2 linked regions of the Lonchura striata genome follow. The protein of the gene in region 1 purifies or fractionates together with the protein of each later gene. This does not show direct contact. Links are inferred from orthologs where the notes say so. Each region holds a gene or a part of one and is shown in the gene's direction. Other genes may lie near its edges. The genes, in order: FLII and LRRFIP2.

What was found.
Region 2: the proteins of FLII (region 1) and LRRFIP2 purify together in Homo sapiens (affinity purification with mass spectrometry; 3 studies listed by BioGRID and IntAct, with this or other methods). This does not show direct contact. The link is inferred for Lonchura striata from reciprocal best matches to the Homo sapiens genes FLII and LRRFIP2.

The regions. Positions count from the first base shown.
Region 1 is NC_134618.1:15,738,744-15,753,549, reverse strand, and holds the start of FLII (protein flightless-1 homolog), read left to right. Parts: upstream 1-8,683; 5' UTR 8,684-8,727; coding exon 8,728-8,790; intron 8,791-9,802; coding exon 9,803-9,913; intron 9,914-10,889; coding exon 10,890-10,961; intron 10,962-11,088; coding exon 11,089-11,169; intron 11,170-11,451; coding exon 11,452-11,537; intron 11,538-11,679; coding exon 11,680-11,841; intron 11,842-11,947; coding exon 11,948-12,051; intron 12,052-12,150; coding exon 12,151-12,326; intron 12,327-12,405; coding exon 12,406-12,563; intron 12,564-12,670; coding exon 12,671-12,755; intron 12,756-13,010; coding exon 13,011-13,158; intron 13,159-13,295; coding exon 13,296-13,429; intron 13,430-13,540; coding exon 13,541-13,753; intron 13,754-13,834; coding exon 13,835-14,014; intron 14,015-14,086; coding exon 14,087-14,169; intron 14,170-14,248; coding exon 14,249-14,323; intron 14,324-14,536; coding exon 14,537-14,620; intron 14,621-14,685; coding exon 14,686-14,806. Other genes in the region: TOP3A (DNA topoisomerase 3-alpha), read left to right, coding at 1-8, 251-957, 1,866-2,041; MIEF2 (mitochondrial dynamics protein MID49), read right to left, coding at 5,096-6,141, 7,117-7,294, 7,738-7,905. UniProt on the Homo sapiens protein: Is a regulator of actin polymerization, required for proper myofibril organization and regulation of the length of sarcomeric thin filaments. It also plays a role in the assembly of cardiomyocyte cell adhesion complexes.
Region 2 is NC_134603.1:102,524,291-102,539,207, forward strand, and holds the start of LRRFIP2 (leucine-rich repeat flightless-interacting protein 2), read left to right. Parts: upstream 1-8,238; 5' UTR 8,239-8,602; intron 8,603-8,703; 5' UTR 8,704-8,846; intron 8,847-14,917. UniProt on the Homo sapiens protein: May function as activator of the canonical Wnt signaling pathway, in association with DVL3, upstream of CTNNB1/beta-catenin.

The DNA.
Region 1 (14,806 bases):
GTTCACAGGTAGGTCGTGCTAGTTATCCCTTGTTGGACAGTGGGGCAGAGACTTCCATGAGCTAGGCTGGGCAACCATTTTCCATCCCAGTCTTGGAAAGCTAGAGCAGCACTTGGCTTGGGGGTGAAAAGAAGAGGGGTTGGGGAAACTCCTCCATATAGCAGAATCAAAAGAATAAATAGAAGTTCAAGTATAAATTGTGGTCTGTTGATGAGAAACTGGCAGGCTTTGACTCTTCCTTTCCTTGCAGACTGAAGTTTAAATTCAAGAAAGGCAGCGTTCCCCCTGTGATGCCCTTGGAGTTCGTTGGCTGCATTGGAGGCTGTGATGAGATGCTGAAAGAGCTTTTAGACCTCAAGTACTTGCACAGATCATCCCAGCCTGCGTCATCCACCTCCCAGCCAGGGCATCACCTGCAGGCCAACCACTCCCTGAACAGAGCCAGCAGTGAGACCAGGCAAGCCAGGGGGGCCTCAAACCTGGCACGGGGACACCTGCTCTCCATCAACTCCTCCAGGACCCCCAGGGCTGCTCCTCCAGCTGCTCCAGACGACGGGAACGCTGTGGTGTGCAACTGTGGGAGCGAGGCGCTGCTGCTGACCGTGCGCAAGGACGGCCCCAACAAGGGCCGCCAGTTCTACAAGTGCAGCTCCAGCACCTGCAACTTCTTCCTCTGGGCTGACGAGCAGGACAGAGGCAGCTCCACGCCGCTCCAGCCCACTGCTGGAAGAGCCCCAGCGGGATTGCAGCGGGCAGGAGGAGGGAGGGAGCCCTTGGGCAGCAGCAGCAGCAGCTCGGAGGCCGGAGGCGGCGCGGTGTGCCGGTGCGAGCAGCCCGCGGTGACGCGCACCGTGCAGAAGGACGGGCCCAACAAGGGGCGGCAGTTCCACACCTGCCCCAAGCCCCGGGAGCAGCAGTGCGGCTTCTTCCAGTGGGCAGATGAGAACGTGGCACCAGGTACGGCCGGGCTGGGGGCACACGCCAGGGCTGCAGGCTGTTCTTGAGCTCAGCAAAACAAGGAGCTGCTGGACAGGGTCCCGTGGAGGCCACAAAGATGGTGAAAGACTGAGGGGGCTGGGCCTGTTTAGTCTAGAGAAGAGAAGACTGACAGGGGATCTCATTAATGCATGTGAATATCTCAGGGAAGGGTGGTGCCAGGCTTTTTTTGGTGGTGCCCAGTGACAGGATGAGGAGCAATGGCCAGAAACTAAAACACAAGAAGTTTGACCTCTACATGAGGAAGAACTTACTTACCTTAAGGGTGGCAGAGCTCTGGAACAACTGCCCAGGGAGGTGATAGAGTGTCCCTCTCTGCAGACATTCAAACCCACCTGGCATGGCAGGGAAACTGTGCTTCTACCTCTGCCTTAGTTTAGGGGTACAGGGAAAGGGCAAATCATTCTGGAGCTTTGATCAGAGATGAAACTGTGTGGAAAGATTCTGAAAAAAAAAATAATGACAAAACAAGAGTGCAAAAGAGAGAGAACTGACAAAAAGAGACATATCCAGGTACAGAGGGGAAGATGTGGTCTGTGAGAGATCCTCCTCCTCAGACATTTGGGCCTAAAGGGGTAAAATCGAGTTTTCTAAACTACTTAAACCCCAAGTTCTTCTCTGCCAAGTTCTTCTCTGCTTCAGCTGCAGAGCAGAGCATGCAAGCAGGCAGATTAGCTGCTTCCCCTGTGCTGCTCCCACATGTCTCTAATGCTGCAAGACAAATGGGTAACACTTCACTGTTCAGACAAGTTTGAAGCAATGCAGGTTCAGGAATAATCTGAGAATCTTTGATCTATTTTGAACTTACCTTGTGTTTCTCACCTATTCATGTTTTCAAAGATCCTTAAATTCAGCTTGTTTATCTCTAGGCCCTTCTGGAGATGACTCTTTGAACCACTTTGGCAGCAATGGATTCTCCAGAGGGTTGGGAAGCAAGGCCAAGAGACCAGGCAATCTCTCAGCATCTGCTGCCAAGAAGCCACGGACCTGCAGCATTTGCCACCAGCCTGGGCACACAAGGAAAACCTGCCCTCAGAACCACTGAGCTGGGATGGACCTCTGAGAGCCTGCAAGGACCAGGCTTGTCAGCTCTGCAGGAGCCACAAGGAACTGGACTCTGGGAACAAGTCCCTTGAGTGCTTTTTGGAGGGGCTGGTTGCAGGCTGCTCCTGCCAAGGCATGCCATTTGTTTCAGGAAGGGTTCAACCAGCTTGAAAAAGTGGTTCCACTACCAATTTTTGTTTCCAGCTGCTCTTCTGCTGAGCAGATTGGGAAACTCTGAACATTTCAAGGAAGCACTTGGAAGCTGTGGAGGAAACTGCACTGCAACATCCCCCTGCACCATCCTGGTGGCTGTTCTTGGCCTTTCCACACAGGGAAGAGCTGGATCAGGGCCACCAGGACAGACACCAGGGCTGCCAAGCTCTGCTCAGTCCCTGGCTTTCCACAGTGTGGAATTTAAGTTCCCTTCTCAGTTGATGTTACCTGAGCAACATTCCCCTTTTTTGTCACCCTTACCTGGGTTGTTCCTGCCAGTGAAGGAGGGTCAGGTGCAGAGGAGCTGGATCTGAGCCCTGGGAGAAGCTCAGCTGCAGTGCTCAGGAAAAGCCCTCATTTTAGATGGTTCCTGAATTTGAAGGCAGGTTCTTCCTCAAACCTGGAGACATGCCTTTGTGATGCTGCTAGCTGATGAAAGTTATTTTTGTCAAACCACTGAGTTTCTTATTAAAATATTATTTAAATTTTAAATTTGATGCAGTGACACCTTAAATCTGCCTAATTTTCCTCCTACATAAAATAGTGAAGCTTCTACTGTAAAAGCATCCAGCCAAATCTTGCTCTTTCCAACCACTGGAACAATAGAGGAGCTTTCTTGGCAGAAACTCCCCACAGCAATTTAGAAGTGAGCTACAAAGAGATGGGAAAAGTGGTTTTTATCTCACCAGCTGCATCTGCTGACTTGGGACAGACAGACAGAGCTGGCTGAGCTGAAGAGAAGTTCTGTTTTCCCTGTTCTGAGTTCAGACTGAACTCCCTGGGAAGCCAGGCTGCCTCTCCCCTCTCTGTTGGGGTTTCCTCTATTGATCAAAGGAGGGAGAGCTGCAGGATTCCCGTGTGCTCTGCTGCCAGGAGCTCCAGGGCTGCTCAGGGTCCTGCCCCTGGGCACGGAGCAGTTCCTGGGGTCAGCACTGAGCAGGGATGGGCTGGAGCACTTGGAAGCAGAGCCCACAGCAGCACAGGCCAGAAAGAGAGCCAGAAACCCTGCAGCAGTCCATTGCTACCAGGCCTAAATCCATGCAGAAAGTCAGGAGAATTTGGGTTGCATTTCCCTGTAGCCCTCACTCCCACCATTAACAGCCGGGGCCTAAAAATACACAGCCTGGGCTAAAATAACAGCATTACAGGGCTTTGGAATGCAGCCACTGAGCCAAGGCAGGGCAGCAGCCTGGCCAGCCACCTTGGAATGGCAGCAGCAGTGGGAAGCAGCTGTGCAGGACACAGGGAGCAGGTTAAAACCCTGCTGGTGGATCAGCCTGGACCAGCTTGAGGAGTCACACCCTGCTCAACGCTCAGCAGAGCCCTGTCAGCGGTACAAGGTCAGTGCCCAGACAGCTCCCACACTGCAGCCAGGCACTCTGTGGGTCCACGGCTTTGGAAGAGGAGGAGGAAGACTTTGCAGGGTGGGATCTGACCATCACCAAGCTCTCCAGGCAGCAGGGACACACCTTAGGTGGTTCCCAGGAAGGCCACACAGCTGGGAGTCATTTCAACCCTTAGCAGGGGAAAGAGACAAAGGAGAGCTGACACCAGAGAACCAGTGTGCACAGGGAAGGTTTATTCTCATCATAACACCTGGGAAGTGGTTTGGAGGAACAAAGGAATTGTCAGACTGGGAGGAAAAGCAGGTTTTTTTCCTCCCATAAACAAGATGATAGCTGTAAAGAAAACTAAACCACAACAGCTGCTCACAGTGAAGTCCACAGAATTACTCCAGCTCCACCCGCGTGCAAAACCAGCTCTTCCCATTAAATATAAGAATAAATTGCTTTTCTCTGGGACTAGAGCCAGACCAAACCCTACTAGCAGCCACTCAAAGGAAAAGAAAACAACAAAATACCCAAACAAAATATATCTTCTTAATAAAAAGCATAAACCGCTTCAGTTCTTGCAAGCACTCTGCTCACAACATCATTCCTACCCTGCTTCCCCACCCCATTCCGTGGGGCTGCAGGGCAAAAGGACCTCAAGACAGCAGCAATACAAGTGTGAAAAGGTGACCAGACAGACTGGGAGGGGACAGGTACCTGCAGACAGACACTGGCAGCCACCCACCCACTGGGGAGGGGAAACAGCCCTGCTGCAGCCTCCAGCTGAAAAACCAGGAGCTTCCCCAGAGCCAGCAGCTCCTTTTCAGGACATCTTCCAGGAAAACACTGCATGGGACAAGGGCCCCTTCTTCGGGGCAGCATCAACACTGTCAGAACAAAGAGGTAGGGCTGAGCTTGCCCCTTCTGGAAGGGTTTCCAAGGAATAACCCCCATCCCCCATTTGCTATGGCTGTACCACCCAGCACCCAGCTCATCCACAGGGTTTATTTGGGATTGGCAAAATCCTGCGGGTGGGTGAGGCTCCCCCTGCCCCAAGTGCTGGCACAGCGAGGCCACGCAGGGTGCTGGTGACAGGACCAGCCCAGGACGTGGCACCTGAGGGCTCTGCAGGACACAGCAGCAGGAAGGGGCTGCTCCTCTCCAGCTACTCTCAGAGCCTGAGGGGCAACCTGACAGCTGGGATAGGCAGAAGACACTGGGAGCCAGAGACCAAACATGCTTCACTGGGCTCCCAGCAGACAGAACTCACACGTGTGGCGTGGGCTGCCCTCAGCCCGGGTTCAGCAGAGCCTCTGAGCCCAAGGCTCCTTCTGCCAGCACCCACCTCTGCTCAGGCACGCTTTATTCACACAGGAAACCGGTTTTTTCCTCATAAAGTGCAAGAACTTTGCCTCTTACTGACTAGTCAACTAGAAGCATCACAGCCCTCACAGCGGGGAGCAGCAGGCAGGGAGCAACCCCCCCACGTTCAGGAGCTCCCAACACACCGGTCACTTCAGCAGGACCTCTGGCTCAGATATGGCCCTGTAGAGCACAAAGCCCATCTCATCAATTTCCTCTTCCAACAGCCTGGAGAACAGGTTGATTTTGGGGTTGAAATAGCAAGGCAGGACTCCTTTCTCCAGGGAAGCCACCAGCTCCTCAAGCAGCTGCTGGAACCTGTCAGCAAGGCTCTCCTCTGCCCAGTCCACAGCAGTGTCACTGAGGTGCAGGATGACATGGGCCATGGGGCTGCCCCCCAGTTTGTGCAGGCTGGGCTGGCTCTTGCAGATGCTGTTGAGGATGCGCAGGCAGAGCTGCCGAGCCCCGGCGTCACCAGCGTCCAGCTCCTTCACCCTCGAGACCTCCGCCCTGTAAAAACTCTCCAGCCAGAGGTTTTCCACCAGTCCTTCAGGAGGAACAGCCAGAAGAACCTTGTCCTCCATTTCCACCACTGGGAAGAGGGTGATGCTCAGATCAACCTGATCATGTTTGACTTCCAGCTTCAGCTCCCGGGAGGCCACCACAGGGTGGATGGCACAGCCCAGCAGGCCACCGATGGCAGGCCAGTTGATGGAGGCCACCAGCAGCTTGTGGAGGGTCTCGTTGATCACGCTGGACGAGAGGTACCGGCCCACCATGAACCTGTCCCAGGGGCTGCACCCACGAGGGAAGTAGCCCAGATCGATCCTCTTGATCATCCAGTACTGGGGGCTCCTCACCACGGTGTCCTCTCCCGAGATGAGGCTCCAGAGCCCGGCGTCGAGGACCACCGGGAGCATGAGGTGGATGTGGTCAGCTGCCAGGACCTCGAGGCCATCGAGCAGGGCTCCGCTGAGGAAGAGGCGGCCAAAGGGCAGCTCCGGGCACTTGCTCCTCAGGAAGTTCTGCAGCTGGGTGCAGATGCTCCTGGCCAGCTGTGGGACGAGGGACACTTGGATCTCGGGCACGGCCAGCTGGCTGCTGTGTGAGAGGAGCTTCTCCTGCAGCGTGAGACAGCGCAGGGGGCTGGGCTTGACCTGAGGAGCCCCCAGAGAGGCAGAGAAGCCCCTGGGATCTGTGGGAAGGGAAAGGAGAAGTCACAGCTCTGAGCACATCATCTGAAAGCCTCAGCAGCAGAGGGGAAGGCATGAGTTGGGTGCCCAGCTCTCAGCCCACCCCTCTGGAGGTGACACCGACCTCAGCAAGGGCCCCCATTGAGCTCACTGATGTTAACAGCACTTCTCAGCCATGCAGAGCCCAAACCAACCCCAAATCTGGCTGTTCCCAGCCTCACTCCTCAGCCAGAGATGGGAACCAGGCAAGGGACTTGCTGCCAGGGTCAGAGAACCACAGAATACACTGAGTTGGAAAGGACCCACGAAAATCATCCAGTCCAACTCCTGGCCCTGCACAGACACCCCAACAATCCCACCCTGTGCCTGAGAGCAGTGTCCAAATGCTCCTGCAGCTCTGGCAGCCTTGGGGGCACAACCATTCCCTGGGGAGCCTGGGCAGTGCCCAGCACCCTCTGGGGGAAGAATCTTTTTCCTAATATCCAACCTAAACCCTCCCTGACACAGCTGCTGCTGTTCCCTCATGTCCTGTCAGTGGTCACCAGAGAGATCAGTGCCTGCCCCTCGCATGAGGATCCTACAGACAATCCTGCTCTGGGTCCATTATCTCAGGACATGCCCTGGACTGAACTGGGCCAGTTTCCCACTTGGAAAAGCTCCATCTCCATGGGCAGCTGGACAAGGCAGCCTTTGTTTGCAGCAGCTCCTGAGCACACCTTCCTGCAGGCACAGCTGACCCAGAAAACTAGCACAGCCAACGCTGCTCCAGAGGAAACAAACCCCAACACCCTCTGCCAGGCCACTCCGGATGTCACCAGAGGTCCTGTTTCCGCTGGCATTGCCTAAAAAGGGGCCGTGGCTTGGGAGCCTCCCAGCAGGGCAGGCTCAGTGGGCTCGGCTTTCCGACAGCGAGCTAAAAATAACGTGGAGCTCCCGGAGCACACCAAGGTGATCCTCCTGGGCACCAGGAACCTCACCTGGCACCAGAGGCCGAGCTGGAGAGAGCAGAGGCTCACTGAGATCTTCCCTTCTCTGCTTCTTGGGGGGTTTTGGTGTTGTCTTGATCAATGCCAAGTCCTGCCAGCTCTCCTCCAGGGATTTCTGCTCAGCTTTGGGGTCGCCCTCATCCCGAGGGCTGGTGGCTCGGTCGATCAGCTGGAGGGAAGGAAAAGCCAAGAGGACAAGATGTTATCTTTGTTTTCCATGAATTACAGGTGAGGCGACAGCCCCACTCAAGGCTTCTGCTCAGAAAAACACCCAGTTTTGGGGGCCATGAGTGTGCACATCATCTTCCTGCAGGTTTTACATGGAAAACAGATTCCCAAATACAATTTAGGTCCCAGGTGCCTTTTGGGATGGGATACTGTATGCAAAATGCTCCAGGCAAACAGAACATGCATACATGGTCCCACAGGATGGAAGCAGGCAGCTCCATGTCCACGGCACTGCTTCCAGCACCCGTGGCATTTGTGCCACGTGCAAGGAACCAGCTCAGGAGAGAACATAAAGAATTTGGGACACATCTTGCCCCACCACACTGGAACCAACCCAGCCCTCCTGAGCATCTCCTGGTGCTCTATTCCCAGACCCAGCCTTACCCTCTTGACAGCCAGCGTGGCGATGGCCAGCACGGCCGCGCCGCTGACGCCCAGCACCAGCCTGGCGTTGGCCAGCAGCACATCGAACACGCTGCCCAGCCCGTCGAGGACAGCGCCCAGCCCGCCGCTCTCCTGCCGCCGGCCCCGCTGCTGCCAAAACGCCGCCATGGTCGCCCTGCGGAGAACAGGAGAGTCACCCCGGGCTGGGGGACCTGTCACCCCGGGACAGGCACAGCCGCAGGGTGGGATGGTTTGGGGAACAAAGGGTTCCGCCGGCCCGCTCTCCTCCGGGATAAAGGCTCCCGCCGGCGGCGGCGGGACGGCTGGGTGCGGCGAGGGAGCAAGGGTCACCGGGGGAAGGGACACCCCGGGGAGGGACACCCGGGGAAGGGACACCCCCGGGAAAAAAGGGACGGACACCCCAGGGAAGGGACACCGCAAGGAGGGAGGGACACCGCAGGGAAGAAGGGACACCGAAGGGAAGGGACACCCAGGGAAGGAAGGGACACCCCCGGGGAAGGAAAGGACGGACACCGAAGGGAAGGGACACCGCGGGGAAGGGAGGGACACCCCGGGGAAGGAAACATCCCGGGGAAGGAAGGGACACCCGCTCCTCACCCAGCCCTACCGCAAAGCCTCGCGGGGCACCGGGGCGATACCGCGGCCCGCGGGAAGGGAGCCCCCCCCCGACCCTACTGACGGAGGGGAGGCGGCACCAGAACCAGAACCAGCACCGGGACCGGCACCGGCACCAGAACCAGAACCGGGACCGGACCGGGCCGGGCCGGGCCCGGCGCTGCCCGCGCGCGCCCCCGCGCCGCGCTCCGCGCGCGCTCCCGCCGCGGCCCCGGCCAATGGGAGCGCGCGGCGGCGCGGCCCCGCCCACAGCGCGCGGAAGTGGCGCCAGGCGCCGCGCGCGTCACGGCCGGGGCGGGCGCGGGCGGGGCCTGGCGGGGCGCGGCACCGCGCGCCGCCCCCCGCGCTTCCGCCATGGCGGCCACCGGCGTCCTGCCCTTCGTCCGCGGCGTCGATCTCAGCGGCAACGACTTCAAGGTGCGGGGCGGCGGGAGCGGGGCACAGCCCGGCCCGCAGCGCCCCAGCGGGCCCGGGCCCCGCGGGGTTGTCAGGCCTGGCTCGGCCCCCGGGGCAGGGGAAGCCCGGCCCCGGCCCCGCCCGGGGTGGGTGACCTGGGGCAGTCCCGGTCCCGGCGCTGTGGGCGCTGCGGGGGCGATCCCTGACCCACATCGAACCGCTGGGGTTGAGCAACCCGGCCCTCAGCCCAGGGGGTCCCAGGGAGATCGGAGATCCCCGAGCCTCCAGCTCCCGGTCCCATAGGACCGGGCGATCCCAGCTCCCGGTCCCGTAGAACTGAGCGATCCCAGCTCCCGATCCCGTAGAACTGAGCGATCCCAGCTCCCGATCCCGTAGAACTGAGCGATCCCAGCTCCCGATCCCGTAGGACCGGGCGATCCCAGCTCCCGGTCCCGTAGAACTGGGCGATCTCAGCTCCCGGTCCCGTAGAACTGGGCGATCCCAGCTCCCGGTCCCGTAGAACTGGGCGATCTCAGCTCCCGATCCCATCGGACTGGGCGATCCGTCCCAGTCCCATAGGACTGGGCGATCCCAGCTCCCGATCCTGTAGGACTGGGTGATCCGTCCCAATCCCATAGGACTGGGCGATCCCAGCTCCCGCTCCCGTAGGACTGGGCGATCCCAGCTCCCGGTTCCGTAGAACTGGGCGATCCCAGCTCCCGCTCCCATAGGACCGGGCGATCCCAGCTCCCAGTCCCGTAGGACTGGGTTTCCATGGCCCCCAGCTCCCAGGCCCCTAGGACGGGGTGATCCCAGCCCTCTAATTCCCAATTTTATGGGACTGCTTCATCCCAACCCCACAGCTCCCAGTCCCTTAGGACTGGGTCATCGTGACCCCACACTTTCCAGCCCATAGGACTGCACGATCCCAGACCTCCCATGACCACAGAGCCTCAATCAGACTGAGGTCCCCAGATCCTCATCCCGTGGGACAGGTGTTTCCTCACCCTCTTCCTCCTCCTCCTCCTCGCAGGGCGGGTACTTCCCGGAGCATGTGAAGGCGATGACCAGCCTGCGCTGGCTGAAGCTGAACCGCACGGGGCTCTGTTACCTGCCCGAGGAGCTCGCTGCCCTCCAGAAGCTGGTGAGCCCCGTGTTCTGGGATGGAATGGGGCTCCCCTATCCCGCTGGGACCGTAGGATCCCACGGGAGCCTGTTCCCTGCCAGCCTCGTGGCTCAGCAGCGGGTGCTCCAGTGTCTAATAATAGCACTGAGCTGCAATGTGTGGTTGAAATGGGATGCAGGAGCTGTCAGGAGTGGGTTTGGAGTGGGCTTGCTCTCAGTTTCACCTTGTTTTCCTAGAAAACCAGATTAAAAACCACGCTTAGATCCTCTACCCTGTAGTAGAAGGGAAGGGTGATGGTTACAGTGGGGACAATCAAGGGTTTGGGGGCTTTTTTTCCTTCTTCTTTGCTAAAGTATGTAAAAAGCAGGAGCTGGCAGCTGTCTGGCTTTGTTTTTCGGGTGGTTCACCCAGGCCCTTGCTGGAGTCAAGGCTCAGCTTGGCTTTGGTGGTGTCCACAGCACATCAGGGACCTCATCCTGTCCGTGTCACACAAACTGAGTGCTTTAATCGCTGCCAGGGAATCCCTCAGTGCCACTCCTGCCAGCCCTGCCAGGTGCTCGGGGGCCACAGCAAGACTGAAATCCTGGCATCCCACCCACAGCCTGCCAATGCCGTGTGTTCCTGAGCAGGCAACAGCCGGGCTGGTGATGCTCAGAGGAAAACATTTCCCCAGGGGAATTCCTCCCACCCCAGCAGTGCCCACGTCTGCCCGTTCCCAAGGACTGGGATCTGTTTGTGTGGGCATCCCAGAGCACCCCAAACCCCACGGCAGGGCTGAGGTGTGCAGGGGATGAGGGATGTGGAGGCAGCGCAGGCACACTGGGCCAACCAACCAGTTTGAGACTGGGAGTGTCCCAGCAGCTCTGTGGGTGACAAGTCCCCAACTCTCCTGGGATGGAGGAGCCTCCACATCAATGTTGGGGCACAGCCTTTGCCCTGCACAGCCCCAGCTCCTCTCTCTGCTCACTGGGGCTTGTCTGGGACTTCCCTGCAGGAACACCTCTCCGTGAGCCACAACAGCCTCACCACGCTCCATGGAGAGCTCTCCGGCCTGCCCTGCCTCCGGGTGAGTGTCCCCCTCCTGCCTCAGGGGTCCCCAGGCACCTCTGGGATCTGAGGGCACACCAAGATCATACCTGGGCACCCTGGGGGCTCCGCAGGCAGCTGCATTCCTGCCTCTCTCCCCTCTGCAGGCAATTGTGGCTCGTGCAAACAGCCTGAAGAACTCGGGAGTCCCTGATGACATTTTCCAGCTGGATGACCTCTCGGTGCTGGTGGGTGCAGATTCTTCTCAGCTTATACAGGAGCCAGCTCAGACTCCTGGGTCCCTTTGCTGCACCGTGGTGGCTCCTTGTGTTCCTTGGGAGCAGCAGTCGCAAGCCCATGGCTGAGCTCCAGGGAAGCTGGCTGTCGGCAGGGTGACCCTCTGGCAATGTCTCCTTTAAAGGCTGATGCCATGGAAGGGCTCCCTGGGTTCCCTGTGTGCTGGTCCAGCTCCCTGGAGGTGTGGGTGGTGGTGGCTGGGTGACAACTGCTTTGTGCTCCCCCTTTCCCAGGACCTGAGCTACAACCAGCTCACAGAGTGTCCCAGGGAGCTGGAGAATGCCAAGAACATGCTGGTCCTTAACCTTGGCCACAACAGGTGGGTTCAGGCTAGAATAACCATCTCCCCATCCTGGCCATGGCCACATTTTGCTCTGGGTCCTGTTCTCTGCCCCTCCTCGAGGGAGATCCGGGGCTGGTGCAGATCCTAGGCACTCCTGAATTTCCCCACATCCCTGCAGCATCGACACCATCCCCAACCAGCTCTTCATCAACCTGACGGACCTGCTCTACCTGGACCTGAGCGACAACAAGCTGGAGAGTCTCCCACCACAGATGAGGCGCCTGGTGCACCTGCAGACCCTCATCCTCAACAACAACCCCCTCCTGCATGCGCAGCTGCGGTACGGCCCCGCTCCCCGGGCTGCCTCCCAGCCTGGCAGGGCTGGCACTGAGCTCCCTGCTCCATCCTGACACTCCCTCTGCCCTGTGGCTCTCCCTGGTCCTCAGGCAGCTCCCGGCCATGACGGCCCTGCAGACCCTCCACCTCCGCAACACCCAGCGCACGCAGAGCAACCTGCCCACCAGCCTCGAGGCCCTGGTGAACCTGGCAGGTAGGGCTGGGGCATCCAGCCCCACAGAGCCCTCCAGGGGCTCTCCCAACCCCAGTGTTGGTCTGGCTGGTGGTGTCACCCCGTTGTTTCTGTCCCCAGATGTGGACCTGTCCTGCAATGACCTCAGCCGTGTCCCTGAGTGTCTCTACACCCTGGGCAGCCTGCGGCGCCTCAACCTCAGCAGCAACCAGATCACGGAACTGTCCCTCTGCATCGACCAGTGGACCCAGCTGGAGACCCTCAACCTGTCCCGCAACCAGCTCACCTCCTTACCTGTATGTACCTGCCCTTTTGTGCCATCCCTGCTCGTGGTTCCATGGTTCTCCCTCACCCCACCATCTCCCCCTTCCCCAGTCAGCCATCTGTAAGCTGACCAAGCTGAAGAAGATGTACCTGAACTCCAACAAGCTGGACTTTGATGGGATCCCCTCGGGCATTGGCAAGCTCACCAACCTTGAGGAGTTCATGGCAGCCAACAACAACCTGGAGCTCATCCCTGAGAGCCTGTGCAGGTAAGGAACACACCACTGGATCTGCTGTGTCCCCAGGAGGGAGCACAGAGGTTCTGTGGTCACAGGTCACCCTGGGCTGGCCTGTCACCAGCATCGCCGTCCCACAGGTGCTCCAAGCTGAGGAAGTTGGTGCTGAACAAGAACCGCCTGGTGACGCTGCCAGAGGCCATCCACTTCCTGACAGATGTGGAGGTGGGCACCCAGTGCTTCTCTGCCTTGGGCTGGCTCCACCACAGCCCCAGCACCTCCCTGGGACCCCAGGGCTGTAGGGTGGGCTGGATGAGGTGAGGGCAGGGAAGCTCAGGGCCAGTACCTGCAATCTGCCACATGTCAGCCCAGGCAGGCCATGGATTCCCTCCACATCCCCTCAGGTCTCCATCCCATGCCACATTCCAAATATCCCTGTGAGCACGAACTTCACCGAGGTCTCTGTGCCCTCCCTGGCAGATCCTGGACGTGCGCGAGAACCCCAACCTGGTGATGCCCCCGAAGCCGGCGGATCGCTCCTCGGAGTGGTACAACATCGACTTCTCCCTGCAGAACCAGCTCCGCCTGGCCGGAGCCTCCCCCGCCACCGTCGCCGCTGCCGCCGCGGGTACGCGTGCAGGGAGGGGGGCACGCGGTCCCTCCCTGCCCTGGCACGGACCTGGCAGAGGCTGGGGGGTGAGCCCTGCTCCGTGGGGTGCCCCACGGGCGGCGTGGCCGCCTCTCACCCCGTCCCTGTGTCCCCAGGGAGTGGCACCAAGGACCCGCTGGCCCGCAAGATGCGGCTCCGGCGGCGCAAGGACTCTGCCCAGGATGACCAGGCCAAGCAGGTGCTGAAGGGGATGTCGGATGTGGCCCAGGAGAAGAATAAGAAGATAGAGGTAGGGTCTGGGGTGGGAGAAGGGCCCTGAGGGCATCACAGTGTCCCTGGCCTACCTTGGCTGCCAGCTGGGTTCTGGTTGTCCCTAATCTGACCTGTTCCTGTCCCACAGGAGAGTGGGGAGGCGAAGGCGCCGGATCTGAAGACACGGCGCTGGGACCAGGGCCTGGAGAAGCCACAGCTGGACTACTCGGAGTTCTTCAGCGAGGACGTGGGGCAGCTGCCCGGCCTCTGTGTCTGGCAGATCGAGAACTTCGTGCCCACGCTGGTGGACGAGGCTTTCCACGGCAAGTTCTACGAAGCCGACTGCTACATCGTGCTCAAGGTAACCCGGGAGGACCAAAGGTCCCCTGCATCCCCTGCCAGGAGCTGCAGCCATCCCATCTCACACCCTTGTCCTTCCCAGACCTTCCTGGATGAGAACGGTTCCCTGAACTGGGAGATCTACTACTGGATCGGGCAGGAGGCCACACTGGACAAGAAGGCCTGTTCCGCCATCCACGCCGTCAACCTCCGCAACTACCTGGGGGCTGAGTGCCGCAGCATCCGGGAGGAGATGGGGGATGAAAGCGAAGAGTTCCTTCAGGTGAGGCCAAGTCCCAGCTCCCCTGTAACCCCCGACCCCTCCTGTCCCAGCCTCACCCCTCCATGCCCCCAGGTCTTCGACAATGACATCTCCTACATCGAGGGTGGCACAGCCAGTGGTTTCTTCACCGTAGAGGACACGCAGTACGTCACCAGGTACAGCTGGGGACAGGGGCTGGGGCGATGATTGGAGCAGGCAGTGCCCCATGTCCCACCACGGCTGTCCCTTCCCCAGGCTCTACCGTGTCTATGGGAAGAAGAATGTCAAGCTGGAGCCGGTGGCACTGAAAGGGACATCACTGGACCCCCGGTGAGTGGCCAGGGGACAGAGGGACCTTACAGAAAGTTCAGCAGGATCCACCTGAGACACTATAGCTGCAGTTCTGTGGTGCAAATGGGCTATGCCAGCACCTTTCTACAAGAACATGGGTTCAAACATTGGTGCCCTGCAGGGATCCCCAGGATGGGGAGGATGCCCAGCACTCCCCATTCTCTCCTGACCCCTCTCACCTCTCTCCTCCAGGTTTGTTTTCCTCCTGGACCATGGCCTCAACCTCCTGGTGTGGCGTGGGAGCCAGGCCACGCTGAGCAGCACCACCAAGGCCAGGTAGGGCTGGTGGGGGTGCCGGGGTGTGGGGAGCTCAGCTGCCATCTCATGTGCTCCCACCGCAGGCTCTTCGCTGAGAAGATCAACAAGAACGAGCGGAAGGGCAAGGCCGAGATCACGCTGCTCACCCAGGGCCAGGAGACCCCCGAGTTCTGGGAGGTGCTGGGGGGCCAGCCCGAGGAGATC
Region 2 (14,917 bases), on another chromosome or scaffold:
CTGCAAAGCTGGTTTTGCTCTAGATCTGGGGTGCATGTACCTTATAGACAAATATTGCTTCATTCCCAGCCTTCCGGTTTTCAGTTCAGTAAACAAAATTATTAAACCAAATCTGCTTATTTGGAATGGACTGTTTTTCTCAGGAGCGCTAATCATACACAGCAGCCTTTGACTAAAGAGGCAGCAACTGCTCAGGAGCTGGCGATTAAGCATAAAAAAGAAGATACAAGGTTACCATTGACTCTTTCTGTAAGCAATAAAACAAACGGGACAATTTCAGAAGCACAGTTCAGACCCTGAGATTTAGAATTTTAAATTTCAGTGTCTTTTGCTTCTCCACTTTAACAGTACTTGTGTGAAGGAAAATCCACCTTCATATTCAAATGATGCCACAAATTAATCTTAGACATAGACCAACAGAGAAGTGAACTGAAGCTGCGAGGAGCAGCATAGTCACAACACTAATGGAAAAGAAGCATCTCTCTCTGTCTGGCTGTCAGTTATCCCACTTGGTTATTTTAAAAATACATCACACAGCATCAGCTTTGTTGCTGGAGAAAATGAAGGTTTAGAGAAAACTATTTTTGCTGTATGAAGAATCTATGCTTTTGAGATTTTGAAGAGATTAGTGAAGGACTGGTTGCTTCAGATAGGAAAAAAATAAGAGCATTTCAATTTTTATTATTTTTTCTAAAAAATGCCCAAAAATGCCAAAATGAAGAATTTCTTTATCTCTGCATACCTGATGGGAACACTGTAATAGGTGAAGATCATTTGGGTTGTGGGGACATCAGGCATAGAAGAGTTATAATAAATGGTCATTAGATTTTAGTGTGTTATAAAAATATAAATGTGTTAAAAATTTATATTTAAACTTTTCATTCCAATGACATTTCTAAATTTTTAAATATAATGGGAGTCAGAAAAGTGGCAAAGAAAAATGAGTACATACTGAAAGATACATGTTTACTCACACAACACAGTCACTGCTTTTAAGTTTTACAAGCTCAACAAAATATGCAAAAGCAAGTGATTTATTCTTTGTGGCTTGTACACCATCAGTAAAATCAATTAACGTTTATACAACCTCTCTTCAGGATATATAGAACATATAGAATAGATAGAATGGACTTCTAGATTGAGTTTTCAAGAAGGATCTTAGCATAGGAAATTATCAGCATTTCTATATAGATCAAACAGAACATAAGACATCTAGAAGTATGTCTATCAGGTCTGTAAGGATGATGACACTTGGATCTCTGGCTGGAATGGAAAAGCTTTATGTGAAAATTAAATATACTGCTATGTATTGTATAAACATCTCCAAATTTTATAATAAAAATTTAATTTTAGAAATAGTATTTTAGAATATTGTTTCATATTTTTTTTTACTAACAAAAAAAATCTTCATCCACAAAACTTGTGTCCTAGATTGCAAGGCAAGATGTTTGCCTTCTGCAAGATATCTGCCATCTGTTAGAGTTGTGGAAGATATCTTCTGTTAATTGGGCAGTTTTCTTTATCTCTTCCACCAACCAATCCTCCCTCCGGGGAGACATCTGCTGTTAATGGCCTATTGAATGTCGCTGCATGACTGATAAAAGTTACAGCATCCCATTGTGAGATGCTCTGCCCAGAGGGAGGAGCCAAGCATTACTAACTGGATATAATCTGAGTTTTTGGGACAGTAGATTTGCCTTTCCACTAGATTCCCAGAGGAACAGCTGGGTCTTTCCATTGGACCTTCGGAGCAAGACTACACCCTTCTACAGGATCACTGCTCCAACAGAACCACACCTGCCACTTCAGGAGGACTGCAGCCATTCCAATTTGGACTGCTACCTACCCCAACCAAAAGGCTGTCAGGTTGTATTCTGACTCTGTCTGTGGTTTTCCTTTTGAATTATTGCATGTATTCTGTTTGTTTTTTTTTTTTTCCTAATAAAATGTAGTTCCGATTTGGATTTTCTCACTGTTTTTGCTTTCAAACCAGAGTACCTTGTTATGATATTTCATAATTTACCTTCATCTAAATGGGATGATCAAAATAATGCATCTTCCCTGTAATTCTTAAGAAGAAGTTGATGTTGGAACACTTTTCAGAAACTCCAGTGCTTAAAATTGTACTATATAACCATGATGTTGGATGTTAGGATTTTTTTTCTTTCTTTTTTGTTTCAAGGAATTTTCTCACATTTGTTGCCTAAGAGAAGATAACAACGGTACTTAAGAGAGACAAAAGATGTAGCCAGCAAGGAGGAGGAAGAGTGCAGTGTGCTATGAGCTGGGGGGGCTTTCTCTTTGGAAGTGCAGAGATACCATGAGATTTTGGCTGAGGGATGAGGGCTCAGCTCCTCACTCTCTATCACTCTCAAGACTGGAGGAGGAGATGGTGCTGTTGCTGCTGTGGGGAGAATTCCCTGCCACTGCAGAGTTCTGTCCTTTACTGCTTCTTCCTTATCATGAGTGAGCCTTTGGTCATAAGAGCGGCCATTGAACTGAGACCTCACCATCTACCCAGGTGTTCCAGAAGAAAACCTAAGACCCCAATCCCTTCCCCTCCTCTACTAAGGGAGTATCTTATGGCTGTTGGTGGGAGCCCAGCTGCTGCTGTCCAGTCTCGCTCTTTTCTTTTGCTGCTTTGGGTTTTTTGCTACTCTTTAATTTGAGACGCCATGTCTTTTCAACCCCACATGGCTTCTGCTATGGCTGCAGAGTTTCTGCTACATTTTGTTTGCTATCCCAGGATCTGCTCGCCTCTGCCATTCCAGCTTGCTGCTCTGAGGTTCCTGCTACAGCCCATTTTGCCATCTGGATGGACACTGGGACCACCTGTTTCCCATGAGTTTGTAAGGAAGCCCCTTTTCTATCTCTTCCCGCAGCAATGCTGCCATTAAACAGTCGAGAGGCAGCTGGGCTTATGTGCAGCAACCCATGTAGTAACAGGGGAATTATCACACCAGCAGTGCCAGGCCAGGAGCCAACAGCACTGGCTGTGACCATAACTACACCAAAGGGGCAAGTGCCACAGCTGAGAAACCTATTTAAGCCTCTTAAATAGGTTTCTGTTCTTCTGTTTGGTGCTGTTTGTTTGCCTTGTTTTATATATATATATATACATATATATATATATATATACACAGACACACTAGTAAAGAACTGTTATTCCTTTTCCCATAGTTTTGCCTGACAGCCTGTAATGTCAAAGTTATAATAATTTGGAGGGAAGAGTGTCAAAAATAGGTTAGAAACTGTTGTAAAATAGTTTATAATTGTTAAATATGCACTGTTAAAAAGTTTGGTTATTATGTTGTAAAAGAGGTTAAAAGGATAGTTATAAGAAATATAGTACTGAATGTCCCGTATTACACCTAAGTAAAGTGCACCAACCCCCTCCCCAAGCCAAAATGAGCCAGCCTGGATGGAAGTGTAAGGGCCAATCAAGCACCTTAACCTTCACGCAAATGAAGGATCCCAACAGAAACCAATCCAAAGGAACAAGAAACACTCTAAAAGGGGGCATCTGAGCCAGTGAGACTGTGCCACTCCACCCAAAACATCGGGAACATCACTGCTCAAGAAAGGAAGAAGATCCAGTGCCGGCGCTGCAGCATCCTTGATGGGAACGCCCCTGCTCGACCTGCAGGGCCCCTAAGCTTTAGGCCTTATAAAAAATGCTGAAATCAGTTAAATACTGGGAGTGTGTTCCCATTTATAACAAGGGGGTCACATTTTCTTTTCCAAGGGAGATTCCCACCTTCCTTGGCAGACACCTGTCTTTCAAAATAAGACTCATGGATACTGATCCACAGCAATTAAAAAAAAATCTTCCTATAAACACATTCTAAACATAAATCACATTATTCTAGTGCTTACCTTGTTTCTGAAAGATTTAAAATACTCCAAATACAGAAATAAACCAATACACGCACACAAAAATTACCAAAACAGTGAAAATCTAGAATATCGAGAACATTGTTCTCAATTGTTTGGTTAATTAAATAATCTGTGTTTAAATGGAAATTTTCTAAAAAAGGTTGCATTTACTTAGTTGTCTAGATTTTTTTGGAAAACATTGGAATACAAATTTTTTAGTTACCTCTACCCACAGCTATTCAACAGGCAGCCTAATTCTTTTCCTGCTGAGGATGCAATGGATTGGAACTGAATGGAAACTCATGCAGTTCTACTGCTAGAGAACACCAAACCCCATCAAAATGCATATATAATGTACATAATTCCTACTGTATCCTACAGATTTTTCCAGTGCTAAAGAAAATGAGGTAAAAGGAAAAACTAAATCTCACTCATTCTGCAGTACCTAGAACTTCATTGTTTATAATAACAGCTGTGAAATGTGTGTATGTCCACAAAAAACAGCTGGGAATTCTGAATGCCTGTTTTTTTTCCACAACTTGGTGAATGTTATATGTATGCAAAAACTGTAAAGTCTGACAGTAGTCCCTCTACATTCCAATAAATTCTGTGGAAGATTCAAAAGATTTTGTAGAGATATTCTAATAATTTCTGAGTTAAAAAAATGGTGGAGAGAAGATCACATACAAAAGGTCACATAAAAAAAGGCATTTTTTGTGTTTCTTTTCCTCTTGAAATTTGAAAAAAACATATCAATGCTGGGATTGAAAACACTGATTTAATATGTATTTGTGGCTATATATGATGACAGAAATGTATCTTTAGTAGAAATTAAACTCTTAACAAAAGGCGATGGAGGGCAAGACTGAAAGGGCTTGGCAGAAGCTCCTGTACGCACATCCAATAATTGTTTTGAAAAGCAAAACAAATAAAAAAGCAAGACTTGCTCCCTACATTACAAAAGCAGTTTACACTTAATTTCCAGTGTAGACACAAAAAGTTGATTTTCCACCTGTCACAGGGGAGTATTATAACGTAGCAATGAGAAACAAAGACACACGGACCCCCTTGTGCATACAAAGGAAATCACTTGATTGTAGAAAACACCTCCCTTATATACCTTTAGCTTCCACCGGACATAACCAAAACTTAACAGAAGAAGGGCATCTATTGGCTGCTCAACTGCAATGCTGCTGTCCATGCATCTCACCACCCACCTGTCCATGTGTCTATCCCCCCCCGCAATTGACTTCTAACCACCCAGCCTGCTGCTGTGCCCTCCTACAGGCCTTTCTGGTAAACAGAACCATTATCACCTTTTAACAAACACAATACCCCACATTATAACACCCTTTTTGTGGGGAAGGGTGAACAAGCTAACAATACAGAGAATCTCCAAAAGAGGATCTACGACAGCTCGGGAGGAAAAAGAAAAAAATAAAGTTTGTTCAATTGTGTCAAATGAATTGCTGAGTGATGGCATCTGAACTGAGGAGATGGAAACTACTGGAAAGGAAGGACACAAAATGGAAATGACAGAAACAATTTGATGAGGTTGTTAGAATTTCTTTAAATGCTCTTATATAAATGAGTCTTCTTCAGTAAACCAATCTGCCAGTTAAATTAATACCTGGAAGTTATTCTTTCCACAAAGGGATGAGTGGGAGAGAGAAGAATAGAGAGGACACAGAAAGGAAAATAGATTGTCATCAAGCATTAAGTTATGCTATGATCCTATATGTGTGCAACACTATTACATTTTTAATCAGAAAGTGCAATAATCATGAAACAAAAGATTAAAGGGAAAATTAGAAATGCTAAAGTGTGGGACCAACAAAACAGATATTCAGAACTGCACAAATAGAAAACATTGCAGAGGTAAATATGTTTATTCTCTCATAGAAGTTGTTACAGTGACAAAATCTTTTAAAACTGCACACATATTATTATAGAAAATTGACATAGTTCAAAGTATTCCATTTAACTGATTTACAGATTCATCCTAGAAATAATTTCTTAGGTGATAATCACTCTGAAAAGGACTAAGTAAGAGTCCACCCATAGAACACCTTAATTGTGCTAAACAGTTTTAGAGACAGATTTCCAGAGAAATGGGAGACAGTAAATCAGCAAGTTCAATTACATATGATAAGGGATCTATATTAATCTACTGTATAAAACAACAACAGTGAAGAAAAAAAATATTCAAAGACAGATCCAGTGATACTTAATTTATTCCTTTACTTATTTTTAGCTGAAATTCACTATTAATAGAGCAAGCTTTATCCTAGCTTCAGTAACAATTTAATCAAGGCATATTCATAACTGATTCTTTTGTAACTGAGCCATTACATAGCAAAAATTCAAACATAACTTTCACTTTCTGGCTTCTAATTGAAGATTTATAATGAAACTGTATATAACACGTTTAGCAATTAATTTAAAATGCTGAACTCAGAATTGCTACTGTGCCATCCTGTACCACTGCCTGTTTTAACTGCACTGTACACTGCTTTTCAGTCAAGCAAACAATTGCTCTTTCAAGTGACAAAAATGCATGCCTGCTCTCAAGGAGATATACATTTTACTGCATCATTAAAGAAAAATGTGCAGTCTGTGATATCAAAAGACTAGCAGTATGAAAAAAAATCAACACTTAATTGTAGAAGAATGTACAAATGATCAAAAAAAAATTCTCTTTAACAGGAATAAATTAATAGAGATCCCAAAAAGACCTGGGACATGCCACATTTCAGAACGCTCTACACAAACCCTCTACTCAAGAATGAATAAAAGACTCCTCCCACCAGCTAGGGCAAACCAAAACAGCCCAAGATGTTTTTAATGATGATTCTTCACAAAGCCCAGAAAATCAGCAGGTGTGTCTTTCTGCAAGAATAAATATAAAATAAAAACTAAGGTTTTAAGCCAATACCTTTTTTCATCTTTTCTATAGATGGTCTATGAGAAACTTTTTACTTCACCTTCCTCCAGCGAGATCATCCTCTATTACTACAGAAATTAATGTGATGTTAAAAATAAGGATGGTGAGGCTATACTGTATGATCAGATGAGGAAAAAAGACTGAGAGAGTGTAGATTTTCTCATACAGATAATTATAAAATACTAATGAAACACAAGAAATATATTATACATCTCCTTTGATAGATTTAAATAATTTGTATATCCCTTTTTCCTTACTTTGTGCATATCCACTGAAGCTTATTTTAGTAAGACATTTGAACTCCATCTGGTGCATGTTTTTTAGTCTTACCACCATGCTTGTCATTTTAACAGTGCTTTTTCATTTCCATGTGATTTCCAACATACAAAATGCCATCTCCTCTAATTATCTCTACACTCTTAAGACACCCTGCATTTAACTACAGAGGTGTTGGAAAGCAAATTACTACCCGTGTGATCCCAAGTCTATCTCACAGCAGAATCTCATCAATTTTCATGACTGTCTGTGTATAAACCGCAATATATCTGATGGTACAATAATTTCTTTTTCACTTGTATTTTATCCTTGGGGATTATGCCGGCTACTTGTATATAAATTTTGATATTACAGAAGTCTGGTCGTGTTTAGCGAAGATGCCAATGTCCACGAACGATTTTTACTCAATAAACCTTGTCCGGCACCCATCCAGCAAATCTTCCGAAACGCTCTTGTGCCATGTGCAGGCGGTGGGAGCTGGGCACACGACCGAGCACGGCGACTCCCCGCAGCCCGCCGCGGCTGATGCAGGCGAGACGCGCCGCCGTTCCAGCGGCGGCCACGGTCTCCCGGAGCTCTCGCACGGCCGCTCCCTGGGGAAGGCCGAGCAATAAAAACAAGCCCCAGCCGAACCCGGGAACGAAGCACAAGGCAGGCGGTCTCAGACCCGCCACAGCACTGAGTGAGCCAGCCTGCCCGGTGATAAGGGGGGGCGAGGCGGAGAGCGCGCACTGCAGTACGACACGCTACAGACAACGACCCCCTCCCTTCGCTGCCTGCTGAGGAAAGGAGAAGCGGGCGCTGCTCCTTCCGATCGCCTCCTCGCCTTCCCTAGGCTGAAAGGCCGCCACAGGACGCAGTCACTGACGCCGACCCGGAACTCCCGCAGCCCATCAGCCGCCAGGGCCATGGCAGCGGGACCGGGCGGGGCGCGGCACCGCCCAGCTCGGCTGGCTCACCGCGGCGCCGCCCAGCTCGGCTCACCGCGGCGCCGCCCAGCTCGGCCGGCTCCCCGCGGCGCCGCCCAGCTCGGCCGGCTCCCCGCGGCGCCGCCCAGCGCGGCTCCCCGCGGCGCCGCCCAGCGCGGCTCCCCGCGGCGCCGCAGCCGCGCCCGCTCTGCGCACGCGGGCCTCCCGCCCTCTCCTCCGCAGCGCCTGCGCGCTGCGCCCCCGGCCTGTGCGGGGGCCGGGCCAGTGCGGTGCTGCCGGTGCCAGCGTGGGTCTCGGTGTCTACCGCAGTCTGGCTGTCGGGCTTTCGCTTTCTCTCCCTCTGCTCAGCGCCGGCCCCTTCTTCCTTCCGCAGGGCCCTGCAGGCGGTTTGAAATTTGCCGCAGTCTCTCACTCGAGTTCTCGATGTGGCCGTAAGCGCCTGGCGCTGAAGGGGAGGAGGCAAGCGCGCGGGGCGGGGAAGAGAAGGGCGGCCTGGAGCGGAGCGGCTTTTCTGCCTGCAGCTCGGGTTCCCCGGCCCCTCACGGGAACGGGGGTAGGGGACGGTGGAGAGCGTCAGGTGAGGCAGCAGGTCCCTTGTCGCGGCCCGTGGGCGGTCCGCGTCTGACGGGCACTGTGGTTGCCCTGGGGCGGCTTCTGCCAGCATTCCCCTATCTCCAGGCGTAGGGAGAGAGGCAAGGAAGGAGCCTGAAGTGATTCCGGGATCTGCGAGCCCCCCACACCCCTGGAAGTGGCGGAGGGAAGAGTGAAACAATTCCCGTCCCTCCTGGAGCGTCCCGGTTCTGCGGCAGGCTGGCCCGCAGGTAAGGCTCTGTGGGGCCCAGGCAGGGTCAGGGCGAGGGCCGGGAGGAGGAAGGTGTCACGGACACAAAACGCGGGGACGAAGCGGGGCGGGAACCCGGTTCTTCAGGTTTGGAGGAGCGGCTCAGCCGGAACTCGTCGGTCAGGTCGGCGAGCAGCCGCAGGAGCTCGGGGCGGCAGCGTGCGGCCCCTTCCGTGCGGGCGGACCGGGGGCAGCCGAGCCCGGCCCGGCCCGAGCCCTTCGGGCGGCTGCTGCGGCTCGCCGGGCGCGATCCCTCCTCCGATCCCCGGGAAGCTCCGTGCGCCCCTTGGGGGCTGAGTGGAAACGGCGGAATGAGGGAAAAAGGAGTATGTGCAGAAATCACAGCTGTGTGTATTCCGGTGCCTTTTTCTCTCCTACTTCCTCGGAGCACTTACGGCGGCTTCGCTGTTCCCGGAACAGTAGGGCGTGCCCCCTCTGCAGCGAGCTGCGCACGGAGTCGGTCACTCTTGCTGATGCTTAGTCCTTTGGTTTTTTAAAATTTATTTTGGAGCACGCTGTTTTATTTTTAGCATACCCTATTGCGATAATTGTAAATAACGTTGTTGAGGATGATAAGAGTGATGAGCACATTCATGAGTTTGGAAGGAGCCCAAAAGCAGCTCCGGACTGTGGTCTGCTCAATGTGTTATAAGTGATTTTCAGTTTGAATCCTAGCGTGACTCTTTGAAGGGCAGTGTTGTGAATTTCACTGATAATAAAAATATTTTGTAGATGAAGTAGTGCTGTTATATTATATACTCAGTGATTTTCTCATTTTAGACAGAGCTACAGGCATTTTTTGCTTGAAATTAGGAAGGTCTAGGATCAATTTTCTCCCTTCAAAATATCATTATTAGGGTGAAACATCTTTAGAGATGCGAGGTGAGAGGTTTGCTACAAAGTATAATATTAAATCAGTGTTTGTCTGAGCTCTTTAAATGCTCATTGTGTCTTGATTGTGAAATGATATATTTAAATGTATGGTGGCCCAGAAACAGTTACCCTCTTAATATACATCTGCTTCCTCGATTAATGTAATTGCTTAGTGATGATGTAAGAATAGATAAAAGATGCCTTAGCAGTACAAAATTGTTTGACGTACATGACATAATTTTCCTATTGTTTTCTGTTACTTTGATTTGGAGGTATTTAGCTTATTGTGAAGTCAGTCTTACCTGAACTGAATTCTTGGCTGTAACTGGAAACGTGTGAATAGAAGATGGTTGTGTGAAATGTGTCAGGTGTAGCTTGTTGACCTAAACACCAGTATTTCACATGAATTGACTCCAGAGGAGCTTTTTTTAAAGTCTCATTCTCTCAGAAGTTGGCATAGTACTTTAATACATGTAAGCTTTCAGAAAGTGCTGGTTAGACTCTGTGTAGTGAGGATCTGTAGAGCTTATTAAGGTCTAGATTTTCACATAGCACACAAGTTGGCATGTGCATATACCAAAAAACCACTTAGATCAGTATCATACATAATTGAATAGCTCTGGTACATAATGTAAGCAGAGGCTAAGAAATAACTAACAGATTTGATACTGTGTTGTTGTTTGTAAGATCCTAATGTGAAAATGTATGGTGATAGTAATGTATCAGTCCAGTAGCATTACAAAAAATGCTAAAAGTACATTTTGAGACAGTAATTAGATTTTCTTAATATCTGGAAACTAGGTAACATGTAATTGTATGTAAAGGACAGTTTGTGTTTATGCATTACATGCTCTGCAAGATAGTTTATGTAAGTAATACTGTTTGCTTGTGAAGGTGATATTAAAGTTCACATTTCCTTGAGCTAAGATAGCAGTATTAGGTCTGCTTTAAGGAAAGAGGTGACGGGGTATTTACAGAAGAAAGGTCAGGTGGACATAGGTGTTTCTAAGCCTACCAACTCTGATACCATAACAGAGAACTAGTCAGTAGGAATGATGTCAGCTGATAGTTTCCTCCAACTGCTGTTTCTTCTAAGAGGTACCCAGGACAATTTTTTTTCACTTGCTGCAGTAGCTCTTCTTCGTTGTACTGTAACCATAGCATGAGTAGGAAAGAGTGTAGGAGTCTATTAAATTGATGGGGGAAAAATATTTTAAATAGTTGCATCTTATTACAGAATGTGGGTTGTTACCATGGGGCACTCCATTTCATTAAAAAAAAAAAAAGTGGAGCTTCAGTATAGCAACAGTGTTTGGTTTTTTAATGAGCAATGAATCATTCTTTTGCAAAATGACAGAAAGGGTACTAATTTTGAATAAGCTGATAGTATAAAAACAATGCTTGCTTCATTTTAGAGTAAACACTTCTGGATCCTTGTGGGGTTTTTTTTTATTTTGTGTTTTCATTTTTTTTCTTTTATTGTGCTGATTTTAGTACTGTCACCCCCTTATGTTTTAAAGTTCCATTTGAATTCTTAGTTTGTTCCTGGATCTTCAGCATTTGTAGTAGCACTGATTCTAGAAAAGTCAATCTGTGTTAGGCTGCTTTTCTGAAAGTTATGTATGTTTTATATTGTGCCCTGAGAGATCCTCTGGCGAGTCACCATTATAAGAGCTTTCCAGATGCTGCCTGTAACTGATGATAATATTGTGTATGTAATATACTTTTTGCAGTAATGGTATATCCAGTTGCAGCTGTTGGCAACTGACTGGCAGAGAACTCATACTTCATAAAACAAGTTGCCACCACTTAAAATTGCAAGATGTTGTTTTGGAATTTTGGTAATTTGCAAAGACTGGTGAAGGTCACCAAAGATAGCTTGGTAGGTCTGGAGGCGTCTCGTAGTTCTACAGGGCTGTAGGATGCTTTTAGTACATTGACTGTCTTGCAATGCTTTATGTGTGCCAATGCTAGTCAGGCACTGTTACACTTCATGGGTTCATCAGGCACTTGCAGACTCTTGCAAGCTGCATGATGGCTTTTTGATTGTTTTAACTGGGGACTTTCTGTTGGTCTCTAACTTCCTAACACCAACAAACTGAGGGATTTCAACTCCCTCTAAGGAATTGTAATTCTATTGCTAAATGAACTCTTAAGAAATTGTATTTCTCAGATTTTAAAACAGCAAATAAACTGCAAATACATTGCATTAAGGGGGTGAATTATGCAGTTGTCTAAAGAGTAAGTTTTTTTCCTGAAAAAGCTAACGTAAGCCTGTCCACTCAGAGCAGAAACTTTATGCTAACACTTTTTGAAGTGGGCCATGATTAGAGATGAACAGGTTCTTAAAACAGAAACACTATTCATCAGCTGGAATAACTTTGCCTCCAAGATAGTGGTAAGCACTGTAATGTTTTGGCAGATTGTAATTATATGTTTTTCTCAGTCTTTGCATTTTCTCTTTAATGTTAGCCTCTTTCACTCATAGTAGCAGCTCTTTTGTGGTAATAGTTCTTAGGTTATTCTGAATGAAAATTTCAAATGAGTCCTTTTAAGGACTCATTATCACTTTAAAACTCAGTCTATTTCTTTCTCAGTGCATTAAAACCTAATGTATTTCTATCTCTTCCTACATGTCCCTTTGTTGGGTCATGGTCACCCTGTGATCCTGCAGCCCTTTTTCTTGCATGGGTGGTTTTGGACCTATGAGCAAACATTAATTGCAAAAAGAGTACCCTTGTATGGGGTCTTTCTTCTGAAGAAGACTCTTACATCTGTCTTGCATAATTTAAAATTTTTCTATGTCTATTTACTTTGTCTCCTTTGAAGTTTACTTAGACAAAGATTGAAGATCGAGCAACAAGATTGTGGTTGCCAATATGATTATGCTCCTTCTCAATTATGAATGCAACTGTTGTAGTACTAATACTTTTGCATTCATATTCTGTTTCTGAAAGACATTAGTTCTAGAGAAGTGTCATTCTTTGTTGTTGAATCTATTATACAGAGATGGTGTCTACACGGGTGAATTTTACTGATCTTGGAAAAAAGGGGAATTTTGGTCTGTTATTTATAGCCTGTTCACACTAAGGTATCTGGATCCTATGTATGTAATGCCAAATATGCTGGCATACACCCAGGAAGGCAGTGAGTGATAGGCCCTGAACTTGTAGTGTAGCTTATTTTTTTCCTCTAAGACAAATCAGACTTTTTTCTGGTAAGTAAAAAAGAAACAAGGAGAACCTTTAGTCAGAAGGTGATATGAAGAAGACTAGACAGCAAAGACTTGTGGAAGAGATAAAATGTATACATGCCGGAAGTGAAGACAAATGAGAGGGCATTTGACAGATTTTGTCATAGGTCTTCTGTTTTGTTTGGGGACTTCAGACACTTCTGTGTTTTGGAATGAAACGCAACAGGATGTGACTTCATCAGTTGTGTAATACAATGTGTTACCATGCCTATAGAATTAGGCATGAAATGGGCATGCCTCAAGAATTTTTAACTGTAAATGCAGCAGATATTATAGTGTTCTTTCCTTTTGTATCTATCTTTCTAAACCATAAAATAACAATAGCAAACTGTTCTTTGTCTGGTTTTGTCTTGGTTATATTTGTCTCTTTAGTTATTTTTTATGAAAATTCTAATGTGACAGCATGTTTTAAATTCTTTATCTCATCCTGCAGCAAAATTCTTTATCCCATTGAATCATTAAAACTGAAACTAGTTAAAGTCAGAAAGTGGTATGTTCATTATGCTGGCAGGTGGCACGGGGGAGGGGGGGAGGGTCATCCCCTAAATGTGTAACTGCATCACACAAGGATTTTTGCTTTCTATTTATTTCCCATAATAATGCATATGCATCACCCCAGCACATCCCATCCTCACTTTGTATTAAAATGAGGTTATTAGTACTTCATACATGTGCAATTCTGTTCTTGAATTGGGTCAGTGGTCCCAGGGATGAAGTCAGGAAGGTCTTTGCCAGGTCTCTGTTACCCTCTGCCATGGTCTGAAGCCCCCTGCTTCATGATGGATTAACGTAGAGTCCAGGTGCTGGGCATTGTTCTACTGTTTTCAATATGTTCCTATAATGGTTCACTTGCTCCACTTCCTTCTATAAATGAGTTCATAATATAACAATTAGCTTTAGCTTAAGCATCTAATAATCATTAACCTATCATTGGTGTATCTAACTTCAATATAAATTGGTTCTAACCCTCAGCTAAAATCTTAATTTTTTAAAATCATCATGTACCATGCAGGAAAATAACTTTTTGTGTAGTCAGAAAGTTATTGAAGTGAAACATCCCAGAAGTATTTCTGCATGTATGTGAAGTATTGATATCTTATATTTTCCTGAGAAGTAACATAATGATATTTATAGTATTAGACTAATCAGCATATTAGCAATATGTCTAGGTTTCTGTAGTACTGAACTTTGTAACAAGAAATTAAATACTCTGACATACATCAGCCTAATTAAAAGTTAAATGGAATGGAAGAAATTGTGACAAGACCCTTGAAGAAATATTAAAACAGCTAATTAAAGAAAGCATATATGGAGGTTTAGTTTCAAAATTGAGAACAATAATAAGTGTAGAACCGTATATTTTCTTTTAGGAAGATTCTTTGGAGGTCACCCTTTGCCTAAAGTATTGTGAATTAGAAAAGGTTTTCCAGAGCCTTGTCTAGTTAAGCTTTTACCATCTTCAGGGATGGACATTTCACAGCCTCTCTAGGCTGGTGTTTAACTGTTCTTTTCTTCAACTTCAGGGTCCCCTATTTGCACATGATTTCTGCTGGAGATGTGGACACTCCAAGTTGTGTATATCTGTGCTGTTCTCTAATATGTGCTGTGCTATGTCCTAATGAATATGCCAGTGAGAGCATACCTAACAAGCTCACATTCACACACTTAAGATGTGTGCTGACGCTCCCTGTACTGACCACCTGCTAGCAGGAGTTCAGGATCTTGTATCCACTAGGAGGGATGCTGCATTGGTTTAGCCTGGACAGATATCATACAATCAGTTGGGGGACTTCTGACAGCATCAAACTGGGGTTTGACTGATCATGTTATCCCTCCAAAGTTACTACTACTGTCACTGTTGATTTTGGTTTTATTTTCAAGAAGACTCCCTTACTTCAAACAAGTTCTTCTGTCTAATTTCGTAG